Linked DNA regions of Cricetulus griseus. The protein of the gene in region 6 interacts with the protein of the main gene of each other region in a biochemical or structural test. Links are inferred from orthologs where the notes say so. Each region holds a gene or a part of one and is shown on either strand. Other genes may lie near its edges. The genes, in order: Mybl2, Wee1, H1-5, Mcm3, protein NPAT, Cdk2 and microtubule-associated protein tau.

What was found.
Region 1: of the proteins of Cdk2 (region 6) and Mybl2, one has a biochemical effect on the other in vitro, tested with the Homo sapiens proteins (3 studies listed by BioGRID). The link is inferred for Cricetulus griseus from reciprocal best matches to the Homo sapiens genes CDK2 and MYBL2.
Region 2: of the proteins of Cdk2 (region 6) and Wee1, one has a biochemical effect on the other in vitro, tested with the Homo sapiens proteins (3 studies listed by BioGRID, with this or other methods). The link is inferred for Cricetulus griseus from reciprocal best matches to the Homo sapiens genes CDK2 and WEE1.
Region 3: of the proteins of Cdk2 (region 6) and H1-5, one has a biochemical effect on the other in vitro, tested with the Homo sapiens proteins (15 studies listed by BioGRID). The link is inferred for Cricetulus griseus from reciprocal best matches to the Homo sapiens genes CDK2 and H1-5.
Region 4: the proteins of Cdk2 (region 6) and Mcm3 form a complex in vitro, tested with the Homo sapiens proteins (2 studies listed by BioGRID and IntAct, with this or other methods). The link is inferred for Cricetulus griseus from reciprocal best matches to the Homo sapiens genes CDK2 and MCM3.
Region 5: of the proteins of Cdk2 (region 6) and protein NPAT, one has a biochemical effect on the other in vitro, tested with the Homo sapiens proteins (2 studies listed by BioGRID, with this or other methods). The link is inferred for Cricetulus griseus from reciprocal best matches to the Homo sapiens genes CDK2 and NPAT.
Region 7: of the proteins of Cdk2 (region 6) and microtubule-associated protein tau, one has a biochemical effect on the other in vitro, tested with the Homo sapiens proteins (2 studies listed by BioGRID). The link is inferred for Cricetulus griseus from reciprocal best matches to the Homo sapiens genes CDK2 and MAPT.

The regions. Positions count from the first base shown.
Region 1 is NC_048599.1:16,439,242-16,442,741, forward strand, and holds part of Mybl2 (myb-related protein B), read right to left. Parts: intron 3,495-3,500; coding exon 3,381-3,494; intron 2,583-3,380; coding exon 2,481-2,582; intron 766-2,480; coding exon 616-765; intron 85-615; coding exon 1-84. UniProt on the Homo sapiens protein: Transcription factor involved in the regulation of cell survival, proliferation, and differentiation. Transactivates the expression of the CLU gene.
Region 2 is NC_048596.1:90,563,126-90,565,997, reverse strand, and holds part of Wee1 (wee1-like protein kinase), read left to right. Parts: intron 1-571; coding exon 572-657; intron 658-1,376; coding exon 1,377-1,547; intron 1,548-2,138; coding exon 2,139-2,284; intron 2,285-2,872. UniProt on the Homo sapiens protein: Acts as a negative regulator of entry into mitosis (G2 to M transition) by protecting the nucleus from cytoplasmically activated cyclin B1-complexed CDK1 before the onset of mitosis by mediating phosphorylation of CDK1 on 'Tyr-15'.
Region 3 is NC_048596.1:244,136,036-244,138,647, forward strand, and holds H1-5 (histone H1.5), read right to left. Parts: upstream 1,303-2,612; 5' UTR 1,231-1,302; coding exon 562-1,230; 3' UTR 501-561; downstream 1-500. UniProt on the Homo sapiens protein: Histone H1 protein binds to linker DNA between nucleosomes forming the macromolecular structure known as the chromatin fiber. Histones H1 are necessary for the condensation of nucleosome chains into higher-order structured fibers.
Region 4 is NW_023276807.1:25,181,539-25,185,038, reverse strand, and holds part of Mcm3 (DNA replication licensing factor MCM3), read right to left. Parts: intron 1,849-3,500; coding exon 1,708-1,848; intron 808-1,707; coding exon 704-807; intron 316-703; coding exon 239-315; intron 1-238. UniProt on the Homo sapiens protein: Acts as a component of the MCM2-7 complex (MCM complex) which is the replicative helicase essential for 'once per cell cycle' DNA replication initiation and elongation in eukaryotic cells.
Region 5 is NC_048597.1:165,283,363-165,286,862, reverse strand, and holds part of protein NPAT, read right to left. Parts: coding exon 2,989-3,500; intron 1-2,988. UniProt on the Homo sapiens protein: Required for progression through the G1 and S phases of the cell cycle and for S phase entry. Activates transcription of the histone H2A, histone H2B, histone H3 and histone H4 genes in conjunction with MIZF.
Region 6 is NW_023276806.1:129,199,410-129,203,472, reverse strand, and holds the start of Cdk2 (cyclin-dependent kinase 2), read right to left. Parts: upstream 2,801-4,063; coding exon 2,685-2,800; intron 1,982-2,684; coding exon 1,904-1,981; intron 1,805-1,903; coding exon 1,684-1,804; intron 521-1,683; coding exon 350-520; intron 1-349. UniProt on the Homo sapiens protein: Serine/threonine-protein kinase involved in the control of the cell cycle; essential for meiosis, but dispensable for mitosis. Phosphorylates CABLES1, CTNNB1, CDK2AP2, ERCC6, NBN, USP37, p53/TP53, NPM1, CDK7, RB1, BRCA2, MYC, NPAT, EZH2.
Region 7 is NC_048600.1:117,328,253-117,331,752, reverse strand, and holds part of microtubule-associated protein tau, read right to left. Parts: intron 277-3,500; coding exon 1-276. UniProt on the Homo sapiens protein: Promotes microtubule assembly and stability, and might be involved in the establishment and maintenance of neuronal polarity.

The DNA.
Region 1 (3,500 bases), on a different chromosome or scaffold from region 6:
GCCCAGGAGCTGCCGGGCTTTCTCTTGCATGAAGAGCTGGTCTTTGGTGCCCCCACAGGCCACCATCTTCCAGGCGCTGGTCATCTGGGAGGAGATGAGAGTCAGCTCAGTAACAAACCCTGGTGGTGGGTCCTGGCTAGTAAGGGTGGGACATTTCTAGGACCCTCCCTCTGGATACTGGAAGCCAGTTTGTGCTCCCTCCATTTTCTTTGGAGATTTTGGGGAAGTCATGCCTCCTCATTTGTGGGCTTAACAGTAAAGCAGGAAGTTGAGACAAGAAAAAGTGTGCAGCACCTGATGGCCTCATGGGAAGCCACAGCTGAGCGGCTGAGGACACTGTGATACAAGGGACCGGACTAACTGCTGTCAGCAACAGACAGAGCACTCAGCAAACCAAATACAGGTAATGACCTAGTGAGGGGTTAAAAGCCCAGCCCTCAGGAAGGAAGAAATGGGGGCATCTCTTTAGGTGAAGTCAGCAATTGCTTCCTGTAGGAAGTAGCACTTGGGCTAAGATCCTAGAAGTTAATCAGGCAGTCACAGCCACAGGAATACATCAGAATAGTGTAGCCCTGGGGTGAAAGGACAGCAGGACCCGTTCATAGCAAGACTCACAGGGGCAGGGGCTGGAATGTGGCCCCGAGACTTCTGGGTGGCCACCACCTTCTCAGGCTTGGCCTGCAGGAACCCCTGGTTGAGCAGGCTGTTATCCTCTTTGCTGCCTGGCAGGGTGAAGCTAGAGGAGCTGGATGGGACACTTGTTGGCTGAAATCAAAACCAAGTTAGTCACTACTTTGCCACAAGATCTTTGCCAGGAGAAAACAAAACAAAACACAAACACAGCCTGGTATCCTGGCACTGCCCCCGCCCCCCTTCACCCCATCCCTTCTGATGAGATCTGGAGCAGGATATTTGCCCTCTAAGCCTCAGTTCCCTTTCAGATATGGAGTTTAGACACGAACCCTTAATCCTTTTACTTATAGGATTAAAGGAATTATCTGTGAACTGATCGTTTCAGAGCCCAGCAATGCCAGCTCCTGTCACGTGAGGCCACACATGCTCCAGGCTTCCTGGTCCTGAAACACTCAAAAGCATCAAGTGAAATGTGCCATGGGCCCATAAAGCTCTGCTCATTGGCTTGCCTTCATAATGTTCCACTTGGAGCTAGGGGGCCAAGAAGCCAAGTTCACAGGCTAATTCTTTCCCACACCCATCTCCACAGCACAGCTCATCTCCACAGGCCTCACTTCACTCAGAGTGGGTGAGGTCCTGGGCTCAACCCCCAACACTGCTTAAAACAGAACAAAATACGTCGTGCCTCAAGTAGAGGCAGCCAAAGGTCTGATTGAAGGGAGCAAGTCCCCCACCTGACAGGGTTCCCTGGGGAAAAAAAGCTTTTCTAGAAGGACAACAGCCCTACCCATAAGATCTGTTTAGCAATTCATGTCCTCATCCATGCTCCCACCCGCTCCTCACTCACTCACTGCCTCTCTACTGGTGCCAGGTGTCAGGTCCAAAAGAAATTCCAATTCCCCAAACTCCAAAAGATGAGCTCAACCTAGACTATAGGAGGATTTCTGGCAGTTAGATAAAAGCCAGCATTCCTCAGGAACTTGTGGAGCTGGTTCCTCTCTACCAAAAGGAGTCATTTCCCTTACCTCAGGCAGAAGAGCTATGGCTACCCATGGTGCCTATCAGTCTATCAAAGCTTATTTATGCTGGTCTCCAGGCTCCTTCAGTATCTCAAGTACCTGCTACTTTTCAAAGCCCTTTTCACTTCCTCCTTTACCCCAGAATCCCAGTTCCCTCCTGGCAGCTATTCATTGTCCTTAGAATCCTGTTATTCTCTATGTTTTTCTAATCTCTATGCCCTGCTATCCTCCCCTCTCTCACAGATAGTCCTGGTCATGTCTAGTCTGCTGTCCATATTCAGTCTATACTGTTTCCCTCTCTCTCATATCCACAATAAAAAACCTCCCCCTTAACCATACAATGGAACTGCCATACCACCAGTTTATACACCAGGTCAAGCCAGGCCATTTCCCAGTAGCACAGGTGTGTTACTGCAAGGAGCCAGTAACACACCTGTGCTCTTAAAGGCAATGACTTCTATGCCCAGAAGAGCAAGGCTGGCCTGTAGGCCAGACAATAGCTGCTCAGGGTTGATGTGCCTCAAACACCCCGCTGTGCTTAGGGCAAATGTGGTTGACACTCAGTGGGAAGGGTGGTGCTTGGGGCCCATAGCATTCTAGCAATGTGTCTCCTGCCAAATCAAACCTAGGAAAGACACATCAGAACTCTCAGTGAGGCTCAGGCTGGGTGCCCAGACCTGCCACTTCCTGACATTCTTCCCAACACTGGGGCCAATTGGAGAACCAGAAACCCACCCCATCTAAAGGGTCCTCTCCATGATCAGACAGCTCCAAAGGCAGAAGGTTCCTAAAGACCTGTGAGGCAGGTGGTCACTGTCAGCCCCTTACCAAGGACAGAGCTTTGGGCAGTGAGGACATCAGCTTCCCATCTTCATCCACAATGTCAAGAGCCAGAGACTTTCGGACTTTCTTAACAGGGCTTCGCCGCAGCTGAGGGTTAGGGAAGAAAAGGATGGTTAATGTGGGCAATCGGGTTCCCCATGGCCAATGCCTCAGTGACCACAGTCACTGAATCAGGACTTTCGAGAGTAGAATCTTCAAGGTATAGCCAGTAGCTCTTACTCCAGGGATATGGGAAGACCAGGAGACCTTGGCCACATTACACTCTGACCCAGGTGGTCAATACCCTGCCAGACACTGTGGGTCCATCCCAGCCTCACTGCCCAGCTTTGACTATCAACACTCCCTAGGGAGAGCAGTCTAGGGGGAAAAGCACAAATGGAAGGAGAGATATGAAGTGCCACCTGTGGCTACAAGAGCTAGATAGTGCAACAGGAAGGAAGCAGACCATCAGCCTGGCATCTCACCAGGTGGCCCTGTGAAACCCCCCACACCCTACTTTCATGACCAAGGCACCGCTCTCTTCCTAGCTCACTCTAGACTACCGTCTGAAAGGAACACCGTGTCCCCCTATACTCCCTCATCCCACAGGAATTCCCATGGCCACGAGGTGTGTGCTGCATGCCTGTCTCCATCCACTGAGCTCTGGGAGTCTCCCTGACCACTTCACACCCATCACCCCCGCCTAAGCCACTTCGGAAGGTCCATTCACAATGTTGGACGAGAGAGTGCATCATTTTAAGCAGAGGAGGACGGACAGGTTAAGAAGCCAGGGCCCTCTGAAAGGCTCACCCCCGTAAGGCACTCCACAGGTCCTCCCTGACCTCAGGGCTGACTTTCTTTCTATGCCAACTACCTAGGCAGAGGGAGAGTCCTCAAACCACTCACCCCAGGCTTTCGCTTCTGCTTCTCAGGCCTCACATCATCCTCAACAATGAGCTCAATGCCAGCCTCAGAACGTAGCACTTCCTTCAAGTCCTCTTCCAGGTGTGGAGTCTGGGGCTGTGG
Region 2 (2,872 bases), on a different chromosome or scaffold from region 6:
TGTGCACTGCTTTGGATACCAGGGTAGCTGGCCTGTGAACTCCTGGAAGTTTCTTGTGTCTGCCTCCCATCTTGAGGGATTTCTGAGTTTGCAAACTTGTGCTCTTTTGTTGGCTTTTGCATGGGTTCTGGGGATCTGAACTCTGGTCCTTACTCTTGATAAAATCAAACACTTTTATCAATTGAGCCATCTCCATAATCCTCTTTTTGAGTGTTTGCCTTAATGTAAATATACCATGTATATGATTGGTGCCCAAAGAGGCTAGAAACATCCCCAGGGACTTAAGTAGCAAGTAGTTGTGAGCTACTATGTGCATGAACTTTGGTCCTCGGCAAGAGAAGCAAGCATCTCTCCAGCCCATGTTTATATATTTTGAGACAGGATTTCATGTATCTCAGGTATCCTTCCTTGAACTTGCTGTGTAGCCCAGACAGCTCAGGATTCTGCTGCCTCTACCCTGAGTCCTAGGATTACAGGCATGTGTTGCCTGTAGTTATAGATACCAAGCCAGGGCTTTGTGCATGTTAGGTGAGTACTCCACTGAGCTACTGTACTTTTCTAATACATCTAGGTGATCTTGGACATGTGACAAGAATCTCTAGTCCACAAGTTGAAGAAGGTGATAGTCGATTTCTAGCAAATGAAGTTTTACAAGAGGTAATTTATTTCTCCTTGATTTATAGTATTTGCTTTGTACCACTTAAGCAATTGACAGAAGACTGCATTCAAATATGTTGAAAATTAAGCAACTTAGTAGACTAAAAGTAGAAAATCTAAACCATCACCCAGGGATATTTAATCCGGCAAGGATTCTGATGGCATAGTAAGTTGTTCTTTACCCTGCGAATGGAGCTTCAAAGTTGCATGGCCTTTCTAGAGACCAGACTGTCACTATATTGATATTTAAAATTCACATTTCTATTGACCCAGGATTTTTAGCTCCAGAAGTTTTTCCTATACAAATGATCATGTATAGAGAACAATGTGAAAATGTTGTATTTACTAGGGAAATGAAAGGTAGATTATGACATAGGGTGTCACATAAAGTCTAATTATTTAGTCTCCTTGCTCTTCTCTCCATGCACATTGTCTGCATATGCATCCCCAAAGGCATGATACGTGCTTCTGAGCATGTCATTGGGCAACTGATAAAGCAGCATCTATTTTTAGATGTGTATTTAACCCCCTCTCTAAGTTTATTATTTGTAATTAAAAAAAAAAATAACCATCTTCCTAAATTTAGCAGCTTATTTTCTGAATGGATGCTTAAATGTGGCATTGGAAAGGTTTCTAATGTGAATTTACATAGACCATCATGGTGTGTTATATTTTATTTTGACCACTATCTTATTTTTTTCCTCTTTTAAATTTTACAGAACTATAGCCATCTCCCGAAAGCAGATATTTTTGCTCTTGCTCTCACAGTCATATGTGCTGCTGGTGCTGAACCTCTTCCCAGAAATGGAGACCAATGGCATGAAATCAGGCAGGGTCGATTACCTCGGATTCCACAAGTACTTTCCCAGGAGTTGACAGAGTTGCTAAAAGTGAGTGTTTTTTATGTGAAGCACTCTGTTAACACCTCAACATTTTACTAAGTAGTAGTCTTTTTTGTTTGGTTGGGTTTTTTTAGAGACAGGACCTATGTATCTCTAGCTGTCCTGGGAACTTTGTAGACCAGGCTAGCTTCAAACTCAAAATATCTGCCTGCCTCTACCTCCTGAGTGCTGGGACCTAAAGGCGTGCACAACACCTGGTCATAAGTAGTAGTTTTTTTTCTGATTTTTCAAGACTGGGTTTTTTCATTTCTCTGTGCAGCCCTGACTATCCTGCAATTCACGCTGTACACTAGACTAGACTTGAACTCTGCCTCTGCCTCCTGAGTGCTGGGATTAAAGGCATGTTCCTCCACCAGGCAGTAGTGGTGCATGCCTGTAATCCCATCAGTTAGGAGGCAGAATTAGACCCATCTCAGTGAGTTCAATGCCAGTCTGATCTACAAAAGCAACTTCCTGGACAACCAGGACTGCTACACAGAGAAACCGTGTCTTGGGTTGGAGAGGGTGGGGGAGTGGGGAAGGCATGTGCCTCCATGCCCAGTAGTAGTGTGTAACCACAATTTTGACTTTCTTTCTCAGGTTATGATTCATCCTGATCCAGAAAGAAGGCCTTCAGCAATGGTGCTGGTGAAGCATTCAGTGTTGCTGTCTGCATCTAGAAAGAGTGCAGAGCAGTTACGAATAGAATTGAATGCTGAAAAATTCAAAAATTCTCTTTTGCAGAAGTAAGGAGGTTTTTTTTTTTAATTTTTACTCTCATTTTCATTGATTCTCAAATTTTGAGAGATCATTTAGGGTTTTTGTCAAACTTTGTAATTATGTACTTTATGAGTATTAAGTGGGGTTGGGGTAGTGGTTCAGTTGGTAAGGTTTTCCCCCATAAACATGAGGGCCTGAAATTGTAAAAAGTTTATTACTAGCCCACTTGTGAAAATCTGGGCACATAGTTTTTGTTTTTGTTTTTGTTTTTGTTTTTGTTTTTGTTTTTGCAAAATAAGAACTCTTTATTTTAAATTAGTTATATAGCTATGAACTGAGTAATAGTATTAACTACCACCTTACATTTGAGCCAACAATACTCTTGTGTCTGTGATCTCAGCACTGGAGAGACAGAAACAGCTCTACTGAATCATCAAGTCCTAGATTTGAGCCCTAGAAAGCTGGATGTTGGTGGCTCACGCCTTTAATCCCAGCACTTGGGAGGCAGAGGCAGGCGGATCTCTGTGAGTTCGAGACCAGCCTGGTCTACAAGAGCTAGTTCCAGGATAGGCTCCAAAGCCACAGAGAAACCCTGTCTGGAAAAAACAAAAAAC
Region 3 (2,612 bases), on a different chromosome or scaffold from region 6:
TAGCTGTAAATGAGTTGCGGCAATTGAGTGGAGTGACTCTCCAAACGTCATCGACTGGCTGTCCAATCGAGGCAAGGTTGGTACAAAACCATGATGCAACTGGGTTAGGAAATACGATTATGTACAGCCAATCAATTCGGCCTCTTTTCGCGCCGCGCGTTGATTTTTCAGTTATGAAAAGCTAACTGCAGTCTAAGTGAACTCTGGAGAGCTACATTCCTGACGAACAATGTGTTCACAGAACAGAGGGTAAAGATAGACGCGCGCAAAGGACAAGACCTACTAGTCCGGGATGGGAGTGGGAGGATTAGCCGGGGGGGGGGGGGGGAGCGCGCACAGTGAGGAAAAAGGCGGGTGCCCGCGTGGACATGGCAACTACTCAGCAGTACGTGAGGGCAGGAGTACTCCGTGCTAGTGTTACCTGAATTCCACTGTGGCACCCAGATGGTTCAGGTAGTTGGCGGGACTTAGAGGGTTAGGTCAGTGTACAGCTACATTCACCGAGCTCTCTGGGTGGCTCTGAAAAGAGCCTTTGGGGCTTGGTTGCTATTAGAAGCAAACCTACTTCTTTTTAGAAACAGCCTTCTTCGCCTTAGCAGCTTTAGGCTTAGCTGTCTTAGGCTTGGCAACTTTAGGCTTGGCTGCCTTTGGCTTCACAGCCTTGGGCTTTGCCGGGCTCTTGGCTGCCTTCTTAGGCTTAGCTGCCTTGGCCTTCTTAGGGCTCTTGGCCACTTTCTTCACTCCAGCGGCCGCAGGCTTCTTTGCTTTCTTTGGAGTTTTCTTCACGGTCTTCTTGGCCCCCGCAGCCTTCTTAGGCTTTTTCGGGGTGGAACCTGAAGGCTTCTTAGCCTTGGCGGCGCCTGCCTTCTTGGCTTTGGGCTTGGCCTCGCCGGAAGCCGCCTTCTTGTTGAGCTTGAAGGAGCCGGAGGCGCCGGTGCCCTTGGTCTGCACCAGGGTGCCCTTGCTCACCAGGCTCTTGAGCCCCAGCTTGATGCGGCTGTTGTTCTTCTCCACGTCGTAGCCACCTGCAGCCAAAGCCTTCTTGAGCGCGGCCAGGGACACGCCACTGCGCTCCTTAGAGGCAGACACAGCCTTGGTGATGAGCTCGGACACCGGGGGACCGGTGGCCTTGCGCTTCGTTGCGCCAGCCTTTTTGGTCGCCTTCTTCTTTGCGGGAGACTTCTCCACAGGAGCCGGAGCAGCAGTTTCGGCAGGAGCAGTTTCAGACATGGCGAGATTGTAAGCTACAATAAAAGCAAAGGAAAACTAACTCAAAGAGCAAATTTTGCTGTGCTCCTTAGCTCCGACTCCGGGCTTATATAAGCCAGAGCTGCGCTGTGATTGGTGGAGCGTCCAATCCACCGCCCTTTGGCCGCGCGAAACAAGGTTAGAATCCCAAATTGTGTTTGTTAGTCCCCAAATTTTTACTTACTACTGAAAATAAGGGCGCAGAAATTGGCAGTTTGGTGTTCCAAAGGAGAACAGCCTTCGGGTTCACATACCTATGTGTGCTTTTTTTGAATCACAATCAACAGACTAAAGATATTTTTTTTTAAATCCCTCCAGTGTTTCAGAAGAATCCTCAAAGGAGAGGACATCCTGATAGTTACTTGCATATTTCCATAAACGTATACGAAGTATGCAAGGAACATTACTTAAAAGGATTTGTCCACAAGTCCCGCCTTTAATTTTTGCAAGAGTAAAAGAAATATCTTTTTTGGTTTGGTCACAAACTTTGTTTCTGACTGTAGCAAATAACACAGGTTTGGCTGGCGGCAGACTGAAATTAAACATTTTAGATATTTCTCTTTAAAATAGGTCCGGCTTCTCGTACTTTCTGCACATTGCTATCTTTAATGGAGATTGAAAATTTTTCCATTGTGAAACTTTCTTCTTTGAAGTCGGGAGTTTAGAAATCATTGACTTTAAGAGTTGTGGCAATGGATTGGCAGGTAAGAGCAGCTACTGCTCTTGCAGGTCTGCTTTAGTTTCCCAGCACTCACAGGGCAGCTTGCAACTGTCTGTAACTCCAGCCCCGGAGTATCTCAGGCTTTCTTCTCAATTCTCCGGATTATCAGGCAAGTAAGTGGTGCACATATACACATGGAGACAAAACCTCATACACATAAAGCTTTAAAAAGTAACTCAAATATTTAAAAAGAAGTCACTACCTTCAGAGGCAAACCAATTTACTTCTAAGTCAAAATAAATTAGATATGGATCTGACTTGCTTTTGTTAGTTGCTAATGGTATCTGAAGACAGAAAATACTAACTAAAGATAATTTGCGTGAGGAAAATTTTAAAACTTTCAGGAAATTATTAGAGTGACCCTCCAGTCCTCAAATGTAGTTGGTTGAGATGACCAGTGAGAATTTCAGAACATTTAGCAAGCAGGACAATCAGGCATGCTCTTAAGTAGTCAATGCCAATATGGGTATTTTTTGTATATTGAGATGCCAAGATGGGCAATATTTTAGAATATTATTAAGGGCCTGGCAATTAGAGTTTCAAAGAATTTGAGAAAAATAAAGCAATGGAAAGAGAAAGGGGGTGGTGAAGTTTGCTCTAGGAGAGAAGGTGAAGCTTACTATGGTGAAAGGTAACACAGGCT
Region 4 (3,500 bases), on a different chromosome or scaffold from region 6:
GCAGGAGACCCTCAGTGCAATCTCTGCGATGCTCACAGCAGGCATGACGAAAGTTCGTAGAGAATAAAGGAGGAAGCCAAGGGCTGAGACAAGCTTTTTTCCTAAGTTTGCACTGTGGCGTCCCAAGGCTCTGAGACACGGGTCCTGGTCACAGGGTCTCCCGTGAAGTCAGTGGGAGCTCCTGAGGAACGGCCGCACACACTGCAGCTGGACGGGTCACGAGGAATTGCTCACTCACCTTGTGGCGTTTCCTTCTCTGCTTCACTGAAGTTATAAGGGTCAAAGGACTCCCCATCCGTGGCATCAGTCTTCCTCCTGAAATAACCATAGCAGCCAAGAAACTGAGAAGGCTTCAGGGAGCCACATGCACATGTAACAATGTACAAGCAAACTGCAACACCAGGCATAGGCCTGAACAAACCACTAAATTTTCTGTAAGACATTCTCCAGACCCCACTGCCCAGTGCTCTAACAAATGATTAGGTAGGAGGGGAAAAGCGGCCTCAAGAACATTTGAAGACCTAATGATGGCATCACTTCTGCTATTCCGCATCCCTTATAGGAAACCATATTGAACGTCACAGAGGCTCTCCCCTCCTCTCCTGTGCCTGACTACCATCATCTGTAAACCCTACAGGGCCCGGAGGATACTGGTGCCAGCAAGCTGTAACCCCGCCCCCCACAGAGCCATGTCCCACTCTACCTCTTCCGCTTCTGCTCGGGGTCTTCCTGGCTCTTCTCCTCTTCATCTTCCAAGTCTGATTCATCCTCACTTGGCTTCTTACGTTTCTTCTCCTTCTCCAGAACCTAGAAACAAGCCAAGGGATGTCACTGGTGCCAAAACTGAGTAAGCAACCTGATTTCCAAGTGTCTGAGACTTATCTCTATCCTCTCGGGTCTACGTCCCAGGACCAGAGGCAGGGAAAGTCTAATAGCCATCTCTCACCAATGCTGGAGGCCTTTCACACAGTAGATACTCTATGTTTACTGAGTAAAGAGACATGTTTGAGGTGTCCAAACCATATGGTTAAGGGGAGAACAATCATTTCTTTATAGACCAGGTATTTAGTTGAAATTTAACACCGCTTCCAACTTTGTAAAGAGAAATAAACAGGAAAAGCATGGCAGAACCATAACTCTAAACCTTCAAGGCCTACAGTTCTTCAGATGAGCAGCAGGCAACAGACACAAGACTCATTTTCTTATTTTCTCTCCCTTTATTAAAAATAAAATCTCTTCTCACACAATATGTCCTGATTAGTTCCCCTTTCTCTACTCTTCCCAGTTCCTCTCCACCCCCCCCCCACCCGTATCCACCTGCCCTCCTCCTGTCTCTCACTAGAAAAGAGCAGGCTTCTAAGAGATAACAACAAAACATGATAAAGATATAAGAGAAAACAAAGACCATCACATTCAAGTTGGACAAGGCAAACCAACAGAAGGAAAAGAGGCCAAGAAAAGGCACTAAAATCAGAGACCCACTACTCATTCACACACTCGGAGTCCCATAAAAATACTAAACTGAAAGTGATAATATATCTGCAGAGACCCTCGTGTAGACCCTTGTAGGCCCTGTGCTTGCCGCTTTCAGGCAGTCTCTGAGTTCATATGCACAGCTGATTTAGAGGCCCCTGTTCTCCTGGTGTCCTCCATTCCCTCTGGCTCTTCTACTTTCTGCCTCCTCTGAGGGACTCCCTAAAGGCTCACCTTCTTGAAGTAAGCATACTGAACCAGCTCCACGGCTTCCTCCGCATCCTGTAGTTCCACAGTCTTGCTCATACGGGCCTTCGCATGGGCTGTGGCCAGTCGAATCAGAGTTTCCAATGTCCGTGCTGTAACTGGAGATGTCTAGGGAAGAAAGCATGAGGGAATTTATTACTTCTAAGGAAATGTAGCAGTCTCTTTGAATAGGAAAAGAATTAAAGCATTACCAGAAATGTTCAGGAAGCCCAAGGTGTGTGTGTCTTCTTGACAAGTGGGCGCCATTTAAAGTTCAGATAGTCACCAGTACCCATCAAACATCACCCTCAGTCAAATCAGTTTCTCTCTCCATTGAGCAATAGAGAAAACCAAGATTCACGGCCACCCAAGGTGCTGAGAATATGTGGCGGTTAAGTGCTCAATCCCAAACACGGCACTTATATCATCTCTTCAGGTGCATGGAACAAGGGGAGAGAATAAAAAGAATAAAAGAATCGGAACACAGGCAGAAGAGCTGTGAAATGCCGGCTTTAGGACATGACACAAGGCGACCACAAACTCACATCAGCTGCCGATGTGGGGATGCCTGGACTTAGTCTTCACAAGACTAGGCCATTGACAGACAGCAAGCAAGGCATAGATGGGTAGGGACTTGAGAGGCCCTACTCACTGCTGAACTGTTTGTCACCAGTAGATTCAAGGAGTGGGGGAACCATTGTTTTCATGGCTATCCACTGGTGACCCCACCAAGTACCGATGGATAGTAAGAATCACACAGATAATCCTGGTTAAACTAAATGGAAAGCAAAAGTCATTAGACACTGGTAGGCAGAGAAGATGGTAAATAAGGGTGTAAGATAAGGGGTAATTAGAACACATTATACATGCATGAAACTGTCAAAAACGAAATTACCTTTTAAAATTCAGAAAGTTAAGAAAAATGGCCAAGCTGGGCATTGGTGGCGCACGCCTTGAATTCCAGCACTCTGGAGGCAGAGTCAGGCAGATCTCTGTGAGTTCGAGGCCAGCCTGGTCTCCAGAGCGAGTGCCAGGATAGGCTCCAGAGAAACCCTGTCTCCAAAAACCAAAAAAAAAAAAAAAAAAAAAAAAAAAAAAAAAGGAAGAAAGCAAAGAAAAATGGCCAAAGCAACCAAGTGAGAGTATTCAGGAAGAGAGGAAGGTTAGAGGAAAGAGGAAATTAGCCATCCTTCCTCACTGCAGGCCCACAATGCACGGGGAGCTGTTCTCATTCTGTCACTCCTCTTAACTAAGTACTTTACAGATGAGGACGTGGGAACCAAAAACCGAATCTGTCAAAGCGGAGCTCTGAGCACAGGTTTCTGTGAGTCGTGTACTTACAGAAGGAGGAGCCTGACATACCCCTACCATGTATGTAGCTAGCTCACTGTAGGGGTGGTAAGTAAAATAAAACCATTGTCTTTTCTAGCTGCTACGATGTGAACAGGACCATTGGCCTGATCAATCACACTGTGCGTGCTTTAAGTTTCAGGGACTTCAGATGGGTCCTGTCATTACCCAGCCTTCCCATATGGGTAAAGAGACTGGCCTAGGCAGTAGAAGGCTGTATGCGATGCCAGGCTGCAGACCACCTGCAGAGCTCTGAGCAGGCACAGGGATCACTCTCTAGTACTTTGTCTCCCATTACAGACTTTTCAGTGCCGTATGCAGTTTGCTTCTGCAATTTCTACCCACACCAATCTTGGTAAGAAAATCTCCAAGTGCTTGAAGGCACTAATGTAGAATACCATGGGCTGGGAGATGAGACGTTCTAATTCAAG
Region 5 (3,500 bases), on a different chromosome or scaffold from region 6:
GTTGCCAATGTTGGTAGTCTAAGAGTCACCCAGCTGGTACTGGTTTTGAAGGCATGAAGGGGTCATGGAGAGCAACCGAGGCTTGGCACTGTATGGCAAGACTGGAGTCCCTGAAGAAGCCCAGGAGAGGCTATCATTGAAAGTGCAGCTCAGTTGCAGCAAGGGACCCCAGCAGTTTTGGAGATGCCAACAATATAGGATGACCACTCAGAATAGCAGCAGTGGTGGAGTGGAGCCAGCCATAGTCTAGAAGACAAGCTACGTGTGCTGCAGAGGGCAGAGCCTGAGAAGAGACCTAAGCCTTTTGGGTCACTTTGGAGGAGCCCAGAAGATTGTGAGTGAATCTCCGACACTGGACATTGAATGATTAATATTGTAAGTTTGGTTTTGCTTTGTTCAGATTATGACTACGCCCTGGTTCTTCCCTCCTGAAGTAACTATTTTTTGATTTGATAGGAGCATACAATTCAAACACTGAATTTTAAAAGTCCAGATTTTAAAAGATTGCCTATTTTAAAGAGAATGAATTATTATTATTTTTTAAAAAACTTATGTGTATTGGTGTTTTGCCTGTATATATATTCACGAGGGTGTCATAGCCCCTAGAACTGGAGTTACAGACAGTTGGGAGTTGCCATGTGGGTGCTGGGAATTGAACCTGGGTCCCTCTGGTAGAACAGCTAGTGTTCTTAACCACTGAGCCATTTCTCCGACCCTAAGAGAATCTATTTTTAAAGACTATGGGACTTTAAAATTTTGGAATGATTATATTGTAATGTTGATGTGTGATCTTTGGGAAGTATAAGAAAAGAAAGGTTATGGCTTAACAGTGATGTGTTTGTGTGTCAAGGTGATAATGGGTCTATTGTGCGGACTAGTTGTATGTCAACTTGACACAAGCTAGTTATCTGAAAGGACAGAACCTCAATTGAGAAACTGCCTCTTTAAGATTGGCAAGCCTGTAGGCATTTTGTTAGTAACTGATGTGGGACGGTCCAACCCATTGTGGGTGGTGCCATTCCTGAGCAGACTGAGCAAGTCAAGATAAGCAAGCCAGGGTGGGGGTCACTAGTAAGCAACACCCCTCTATGTCCTCTGCATCAATTCCTGACGCCAGGTCCCTGCCTTGAGTTTCAGCCCTCATTGCTTTTGATGATGAACTACTATATGGAACTGTAAGTGAAATAAACCCTTTACCCCACCAAAGTTGCTTTTGGTAATGGTGTTTTCATCACAAAAATAGTAACCACAAGAGCTAGTTCCAGGACAGGCTCCAAAGGGGTTCTACACAGAGAAACCCTGCCTCGAAAATCTCCACCCCCCCCCAATTTTTTTTTTGATCAAGTATAGTAATAAAAGTTAAGAATTCAAAACAAAGCAAATCTAAATATTAAGATGTAGGGCATTTAGTGATATTATCCTAAGCTCAAGACTCTCTGGCTAGAAGATCCTATTACACACTGATTATTCTAACAAAGACTGAAACTAATTAGGAACTGAGTAGTGACTGTTCTGTTTGAACTTATAGAAGAAAACTTGGATTCCAAGAGAGTACTTATAGCCCTTAACCATTTACTCAATGTATTATATCTTAATGGTACTGGGCAAAAAGAACATACTTTTGTAACCAGATTAATCTACCTAGGGAAAATTAGAGTGACCACATGGTCCTTAGGAGTCAACCACAAGAAAAGCTATAGTAACTTAGTCCTGGTAGTAAATGCACCTTTACCTAAAAGGCTAACTATCCCTGTAAGATCTTATTTTCACATAAACCTGCCAAGTATCCAGGAATACTTATTCTACTTCCCTTGGCTTCAAATCTTACCTCTTTTCTCTAGGTTTTAATGCAAGCTTCATATTCTTCAGCAATTCTGGCCTTTCCATCATTTGAAATAGATTCACCAAATTTAATGCTTAGTTGATAATATTTCATCAGATTTCATTGTCTATATATCAGTACAATGGGAATGTAGGTGAATATGTGTGAATTCTTTGATTGCTATGATAATTTTGCCGATTGTTAACTGTATGTAAAGCAACATACAATGAAGACAAGAGCCCTTGGGGAAGTCTCTAAAGACTTGAATTATTTTTCTCTCTTTTTAAAAATTTATTTAATTTTATTCATGTGCATTGGTGTGAAGGTGTCAGATCCTCTGGAACTGGAGTTATGGACAGCTGTGAGCTGCCATGTGGATGCTGGGAACTGAACCCTGGTCCCCTAGAAGAGCAGCCAGTGCTCTTAACCACTGAGCTCTCTCTCCAGCCCCAACTTGAATCATTTCTAAATAGCACCAGAACATGAGTAATTAGAATGGGTTTTATAGAATTTAAGTTTTCTTGAAAGTCTCTCTAAACTAGAGCCAGGAGGTGGCAGCACATGCCTTTAATCCCAGTACTTGGGGAGACAGAGACAAACAAGTGGATCTCTGAGTTTGAGGCCAGCCTGATCTATACAGAAAGTTCCAGGACAGCCAGGGCTACACAGAGAAACCCTGTCTTGAACTCCATCCTGCAAAAGAACCATGATTAAAGTAAAAATAAAGAAATACCCTGCTAGATCGAGTTGAAGCATATATATAGGTATGCAATGAATTAGGCTTTTTCTTTTTTACAGCTTAGTGTTGTACATTAAAAACTCGCAAAGAAAAAAAAAAATAAAGCTACAGCCTACCAGATTTAAACAAAATCTGGCTGAACTGGATAGCAAGAAAGATGCATAAGCAATTATTTGTATAGTATTTTGTCATAGGAACTATCTATATTATTACCTAGTCAGTGACTTCACACAAGAAAATTAAGATTGCAATCCAGAGAAGCTCCAAAATATGTGTGCACACACACATATAAATTATACACACATACATACATGCATCTCTTTTCATTCAGTGGTGGAGATAGAGTCCACAGCCTTGTACATGTTATACAAGTGCTTTTCCAATGAACTATATCCCCAGCTCACCTCCAATATGCTCTTAGAGTTACCTTGTGAAAAGTTTGGCGACACAGCTTGGTTGACAGTAAATACACTGTTAGACTTTGGTGGTGTCTGTAATTGCTGTGGAGGAGGCTGTGCAGTCATAGGTGCAGAATTCCCAGGCAATACCACTACATTAGATTGACTGACAGTTGGTCCCAAGGTTGTTGGATCAGTCACACAGGTAGCTATCAAAATGTTACTTGAATTGCCAAAGGCTGTGCTTGTGGCAGGCATCAACTGTATGTATCCTCCATCCTTAGGAACACATGGTGCAACACTGGCTGAAAATGCAATGCTATCTTCATTCTGAGGGTTGTTTACTACTGGTTCCTCAGGTTTGAGTACTAAAAGGTTCTGCTCCATTGAGCCAGAATCCCCTACTTCAACAGATACAACAGCACTCGCAGTTTCTTCTGAAGACAGGCATGTAACAAATTCTGCATTTTTGGCGGGAGATTTAGAAGACAGAATTATCGTTGGCAAGTTTTCTCCACCGATACTAGATACAGCGCTGCTG
Region 6 (4,063 bases):
AGCACCAGGCAGGCATGCAATACAGACATACATGCACTTTACTCAGACACTTTAAATAAATAGGTAAAGACCCTTGGGTTGAGCCGGGTGTTTGTGGCCACGCCTTTAATCCCAGCACTTGGGAGGCAGAGGCAGGCGGATCTCTGTGAGTTCGAGGCCAGCCTGGTCTCCAGAGCAAGTGTCAGGATAGGCTCCAAAGCTACACAGAGAAACCCTGTCTCAAAAAACCAAAAAAAAAAAAAAAAAAAGACCCTTGGGTTGTCAGAGATTCTATTTACCAAGGAACTCCTGCCCTGGTATGAACATCTCCCTAAGATTCTTAAAGAAGAAAAATCATAGGGGGACCTACCTCATGAGTATAAGTACGAACAGGGACTCCAAAGGCTCTTGCTAGTCCAAAGTCTGCCAACTTGATGGACCCCTCTGCATTGATAAGCAGATTCTGGGGCTTAAGGTCTCGGTGCAGGACCCGGTGAGAATGGCAGAATGCTAGGCCCTGGAGCAGCTGGAACAAATAGCTCTGACAAAGGAGAGAGGAAGGTTTGTTCAGTCACCACCGTTAACAGATACAACTTGCTCTTTGCCCTCAAAATGCAGTAAAGCCTTAATCATGTGAGATGATAACTCCATTACGTATTTTTGGGGGATTTTGTTTAATTCTTTAGATTGCATATTTATTTATTTATTTATTTATTTACTTATTACTTATTTATGGGGGGGCATGGCACTGTGCAAACGAGGAAATCAGGACAACTTGCAGGAATTGGTTTTCTTGTACTATGTGGGACCTGGGGATGGAGTTCAGGTCATCAGGTCATCAGATTTGGAGGCAGGTGCCTTTACCTGCTGGGCTATCTTGTCAGCCCTGTTTGTTTTTTATGATAGTGCCTTCCTGGCCTGGAACTGTAGGATAGGCTTACAAGTGTAGCCTAGGCTGTCTTTTTTTTTTTTTTTTTTTTTTTTTTGGTTTTTCAAGACAGGGTTTCTCTGTGGCTTTGGAGGCTGTCTTGGAACTAGCTCTTTTAGACCAGGCTGGTCTCAAACTCACAGAGATCCACCTGCCTCTGCCTCCTGAGTGCTGGGATTAAAGGCGCCGCCAACGCCCGGCCAGGGTGTCCTTGTACTTACAGACATCCTCCTGCCTCAGCCTCCTGAGTGTTAGGATTACAATCATGAGCCAACACACCTTACAACACAACCACACATTTAATAGCTACTTCTTTCATTGTATTTTTCAGCCTGTCAAGGATAAAGACCAGATATTACTTAATTTTTGCATCCCTTTCAATACCCTGTGCCTAGCACATGCCTGTGTTAAATAACTGTGTCAAATATGTAACTGCTGATATTCATTAACTCCAGGAGTGAATACAGTTCTGGTTGTCTCCCACATCACAGGTGGAACTTTTTTTTTTTTTTGAGGAACCCACCAACTACCCTCAATCCCATTTTCTGAGTGGTATCTGATCTGCCTGAGCTGTCTAGGTGGCTCGCAGGACCTTGGTTATGATTCTTCGGTCCTTCCTATGGCTAATGACTATAATGAACAGGAAGAGACCAACAGACACAAATAAAAGGGGTCGGGGAGTGTTGAAGCCTGAGAAACAAGCCAAAATATAACCAGTCTGAATTACCTGCCTCTAATTTCCCCAAGATACCTGAGCTGGAATTGAGGAAGGTTACCTTGATGAGGGGAAGAGGAATGCCAGTGACAGCAGAGGCATCCATAAATTTCTTGAGGTCCTGGTGCAGAAATTCAAAAACCAAGTAAAGCTTATTTTCCGTGTGGATGACATCTAGCAGCCTGCAAGAGAAGGTTCAGGAAATGCAGTTGAGGGAGAGAAATTCTAAGGCTAAAACAAACAGAATTCACCTTGGTGGTCATCTCTCAGACTACACTTACTTGACAATATTAGGGTGATTAAGTTCCTTAAGCAGAGAGATCTCTCGGATGGCAGTACTGGGCACACCTTCAGTTTCACTTGGAGAGGTTGGAAAAACACAGATGAGAATATGGTTACAAACATACTCTCTTAGGGAGACACCACCCCCCAAAACTCCCTTAGGAAGTCAGAAAGGAAAGGTACTGTCAGTAGTTATTCCTGGGTAATTGGGGTGTGGCTTTTAGACATATTCAAGGTCATTATTTCCTCTTTTTCCAGTGGAAGGTAAGTAGAGCCTCCAGGTGAATGAGAAGCAGAGGAAAGGTAATAGGGGAGGGGGGTGAGAGTAGCTCCCAGCCTCCCCAGAGGGCCAGTGAGTCTCAACTGCCATTCTTTTGAAAGAGGGTGAGGGTTCTAAGTATGGGGCTGGAGCAGGGGGGACAGCTCTCCATTCAGAAAGGAATTATTCTCCTGGTTCGTACATAACCCAACTCTATGAACACTCCTGGACCCTACCTCACCCCCCCCATCCCCCCCACTTTCTCTTCCCAAGTCTCCCGGCTTGCAGATTTGGGAGCTCACCGGGTGGAGCACGAGAAGAAAGTTTTCTCTGAATTCTAGCCCTCGGACAGTCACCGAGAGAGAGCGTCTACCGTCCGCCAACCCACCCCTCACTTCAGGAGTCCCTCCCGCTACCTTCCGGTCCGGTCCGGGACGGCTACCCGCCTGTTGGGGTAGGGGGTTGGGGGGGGGCAGCCAAGAGGTCCCGGGGAAGGAGTTCCGGCTCCGGAGGCCACTCACGTGTCGAGCCGGATTTTCTTAAGCGCCACCACTTCTCCCGTCAACTTGTTTTTGGCTTTGTACACCACTCCGTACGTGCCCTCTCCGATCTTCTCCACCTTTTGGAAGTTCTCCATGGAGCACTAGTGCGGCGGCTCAGGCCCCCGGGAGCGGGGCCCGGGAACCCTGAAGAAAGCGGGCCCAACACTCGGGGCGGAGGACCTGGGGGCCAAGGTGAGCACCGCAGCCCCAGCTCTGGATGGAACGCAAGCAAAGCTCAGCCCTTGACAATTTATCCAACTTGAAACAATGTTGCCGCCTCCCCCACCGCTCCAGACGGCCAGCCGAGGCCCCGCCCCTCCTTCCCGCGTTTCCCTGGCTCCGCCTCCCACCCTTGGGATTGGTCAACGTCACGAGGGCGGGCCGGGCTCCGCGCTCCCGCCGCCGAGTCCCCGCCCTGGGCGGGTGAGCCGAGTGGCCGCAGCGCAACTTTCCCGCAGTTCCTGGTTTGGGCTCCGGCGGCCGGAACTGGTGTTGTCTGTGGTCTAAGGGTTTCCTTACTTTCCGCTCACAATTTTCACCATCCCTTAAGTGAAATTAAATTCTAGCTGGCCAGGAGAGCCTCCTTTGGAAAGCAGAAACCTGGGAAATCATATATATATACATATCATATATATATATATATAATATATATATATATATATATATATATATATATCAGTTATGTGTGTGTCTGTGTGTGTTTTTTTCACAGAAGCAGCAGATCGTCTGGAGCTGAAGTTATAGGCAGTTGTGAGCTGACGCTGAAGCCCAGCTCTGATCTTCTGCAAGAGCTACATAGGCTCTTAACTCCTGAGCGGTCTCTCCAGCACTCCCACCCCCTTTTTGAGACAGTATCTCATATTGCAGCCTGGCCGGCTGCAATGCGTTAAAAATAAAATAAAAATTGAGGTTGACTTCGAACTCGCAGAGATCGTCTGGCACTTCCTCCGTGTACTATCGTAAGAGGCACAAGATCAGGGCTCTTACTGTAAAGGATTCTTAGGCTAGATAACAAAGTCCTTTCTCAGCCTAGCTTAATCCTGTCTCACTGTTTTAGTGGTTCATTGGTTGGTTTTGTTGCTTCATTGCTGGGAATGTACACTCTGCCTCTTCGGACAGCTTTTAGATAAAGGTGTTTGTATCTGTCTTGAGGGTTGCTTGCTTTGACTCAATTCATGGCTTCCCTCTCTTGCTGAAATGGCTGTGAAGTACAGTACGTGAGTTGTGGCTGCCCATCAGTCAACTCTTTTCAGAATGAAAGTGTGTGTCAGGGTGAATGTGACCCCAGTGAAGCCGGAAGCTGTCATTGAGCGGTGGGCTGAGAAAAGGAACGTCCAGACCCTGAAATCAGTTCTGGT
Region 7 (3,500 bases), on a different chromosome or scaffold from region 6:
CCTCACTCTCAAGCCTGTCTTTGCCCCATCCCTCCTTCTGAGGTGACTCTTGCTGCAGTAGCTCAGAGGCCTGATGGCTTCTCTCCACATCTTCAGGTCTCGTCCCCGAAGGTTGGCACGTGGCCTCTTTGAGGCCTTGTGGCAGGAGGGGAGCCTCAGACACGTTAGGCACCGGTTGGCAGATCCAATCTGAGATCCCTGAGTCTGGAGCCTGGCCTTCATGGCGCCCTGGCTCTCCAAGCAAACTTTCTGGGAAAATTTCGACCTTCTCTGACTCTGTGTGGAGATATCCAGCAGAAGAGGGCTTCAGAATGGGCAGGCCCACCTTGACAGGCTCTGGTCTCCACTCCTGGACGGGCTTCTGAGGTCTAGCTGGTGGAGGAGGGGACTGGGCAGGTGGGGTGCTCCTGGGGACAGTGAGTGACTGACAAGCCTGGAGTACCTGACTGTTTTTCACCTAGAGGTGACAGGGAGACGCCAGAAACGCCTGTGCTCTGTGGACTTGAACATTAAGTTTCTGGCTCAGGAACCTCTCAGGCAGCTCTCTCTACTGCCTGGGAACCCTCACAGCCTCAGGGCTTGAAGAGGCAATGGTTAACAAGGGTACAGACACTGTTTAAGGGGGACCACAGTTCGTACTTGCCATAAGAAAAGACCCCTCAAAGGTACCAGGACTCTCCCAACAGGGACCAGGACCCATCTCGGGCCTGGCTCATAGCTTGGAATAAAAGTTCTCTCGGTCTGACCAAAAAAAAAAAAAAAAAAAAAAAAAAAAGAAAAAAGAAAGAAAGAAAAAACCAAAGCCGGGCGTTGGTGGCACACGCCTTTAATCCCAGCACTCGGGAGGCAGAGGCAGGCGGATCTCTGTGAGTTCGAGGCCAGCCTGGTCTCCAGAGCGAGTGCCAGGATAGGCTCCAAAGCTACACAGAGAAACCCTGTCTCGAAAAACCAAACCAAAAAAAAAAAAAAGTTCTCTCAATCTGTCTGCCACTAGCTTGCTGCATGACCCTCTCTGGGCATCTGTGTTCTTTCCTTGGTGACCTCTGAGTCCCCTCTGGTATTCAGCTGGTCCAGAGCCTGCTGGCATCTCTGTGGCTACCCAACATGTGATTATGGGATCTGATGCATGCTCACCTACCATTCACAGAACCCAAGCTCCCAGAAGATTCTGGGCTCCAGGTGGCCTTGGCTGGATCATGAAGTGGTCCCTCTCTCTCTCTCTCTCTCTCTCTCTCTCTCTCTCTCTCTCTCTCTCTCTCTCTCTCTCTCCTGGGCAGGTGAAAGCAGTAGGCATCATGAGTTACCCAGCCTCCAGCCCTGCTCTGATTTGGAAAATTCACAAGCTATGATTGTCAGCACAGAGCTTTGCTAACTGACCTGTGTATGGGTTCCTCTACATGGAACTGCAGACATTTGTAGCTCTGTGGTCAGCCTTCATGGCCTGCCTTTTGCCTCAGGTGAGGCAGGAGCGTGGAGACCCTTGTTCTAACTGCTCACCCAACACACTGCCCACCAGCTCAACCGGTCTAAGCACCTTTTCCTGGATCAGTCAAGTGATATTCACATAAAACCCTCTTCAGAGTATCTGGCTGTGTGTTAGGGATGGGGGTGTCCCCTTGAGTCTCACTGGGGTCCTCAATCAGCACTCTGGCTCTGTTTGATGCTTTGTTTGGGACAGGGTCTCCTGTACCTGAGGCTGGTGTCAAACTCACTATGAGGCCAAGGATGACCTGGAATCTCTGATTCTCTGATCTCTGCTTCCAAGTGTTCAGATTACAGGCATGTGCCACCATACTTATGTGACTCTGAGCTTTTTTGAACATCCTACTAGGTCCCAACAAAATATCTCAAGCAACTCTCCGGTTTTCTAACAAAACCTATAATCTCAAGGGCTTTGGGGACACAGGAGAGAAATTTGGATAAGGGGAAGGAAGGAGAGGGGAGAGCATGTGTATCCACACCCATGTGTAACTTTTGACACACACAAGTAATATGGACACTAAATCTCTGTCTCTAACCCAGTGGGACTCAGTGTGGCTGGATCACTATCACAGGACCCAACTCCAGCCTGGCCCTCTCCTTCCTTATGCCAGGTTGAGTTCACAGTTACATTTATTTATGGTCCCAGTGTCAAGGCTGTCACATGACAACTGATCAATAAATGCATTCTACATAGAACAGCTACTCATCAGGTGTCTTACTCAGGCCTTGGTCTGTCTCAAGGATGGACAGCAACAAAGACAGAAGTGGGAAACCAGCAAGGTGTGGCTACTCAGGACCAGCCGGCTCATGGACCAGAGGCCGAGACAGCTACCAGCCATGATACCACCCAACAGACTTGGGCCTCTACTACCTTCAAGAAAATGCTCCCTAGAAATTATTTTTGAATGGGATGTCCTGGAGTCTGATGTACCACAAGACCTTTAAAGACTTCAAGTTGAGTCGAGCCCCTAAACATGCACAGTAAGCACACACAGTAAGCACACACAGTAAGCACACACAGTAAGCATACTTTGCTGTGTATGTGAACTGATGAGGAACCCAGGCATAATCAAAACTCCCAGTGGGAGGATCTGGGCTGGAAGAATCCTCTTTTCAGTTTCCAGGGTACTGTAAACTACTCAGTGACTATCAAAGGATGCAGCGCAGGTATTAGAGGGCTTGCCTGGCACACAGCAAGCCCTGAGTTCGATCCCCAGCACTGCATAAAAGGCTCATATCTGCAACCTTAGCACACAGAAGGTAGATGTAGGAGGATCAAAAGTTCAAGGTCACCCTTAGGTACAAATGGAGGCCAGCTTGGGCTACATGGACCTTATCTCAAACCAACCGACCAACCTTTTTAAAACACGGACTCACAGGGAGTGGTGAAAGGGCACAAGGTAAACAGGGTCCTGACAAAATGTTTCCCCCAGCTCCTCCTCAGGAATCTAGTGTCCAAGTCACCTAAAGGGGGATGAACTAGGCTAGAGGTGAAAGGTTCAGGCTTTAATGCTGATTGGCTCTACCTCTTTAAGAGACAGACCCCGACCCCTGACAACAGTCAGGGCATGCACAGGGACCTGCTATCACCACATCACCCACCACGCATTTACAGCCTGTGTGAGGACTCTGGGCATGCGTGGCACCTCAGTGTGCATACATAGTCTTGCCTTTAAAAGTTCCAACTTCCCTGCTTCACTCTCTCTATACTCGCTCTCTACTCTCTACTCTTCTTTTTATCTCTGTCTCTGTCTCTGTCTCTGTCTCTCTCTCTCCGTCGACCAGCCATGGTGGTCAGCCATTTACCCTGTTTCTCTTCTCTCTTAGTCTCTCTACTCTGCCGGGCCTATAATAAAATGGTTAATATGTCTCATCTTGTGCCCTCCTCTTTTTCTTCAAAAATTTTAACAAGAGGTCAGTGACAGAGTCCTTCATCACGAAACAGAGGACAAATCATCCATCACTTATGAAGGACACCATCTCTCAGCTCCTCTGTCATCTATAAGCCTCCCTGCTAT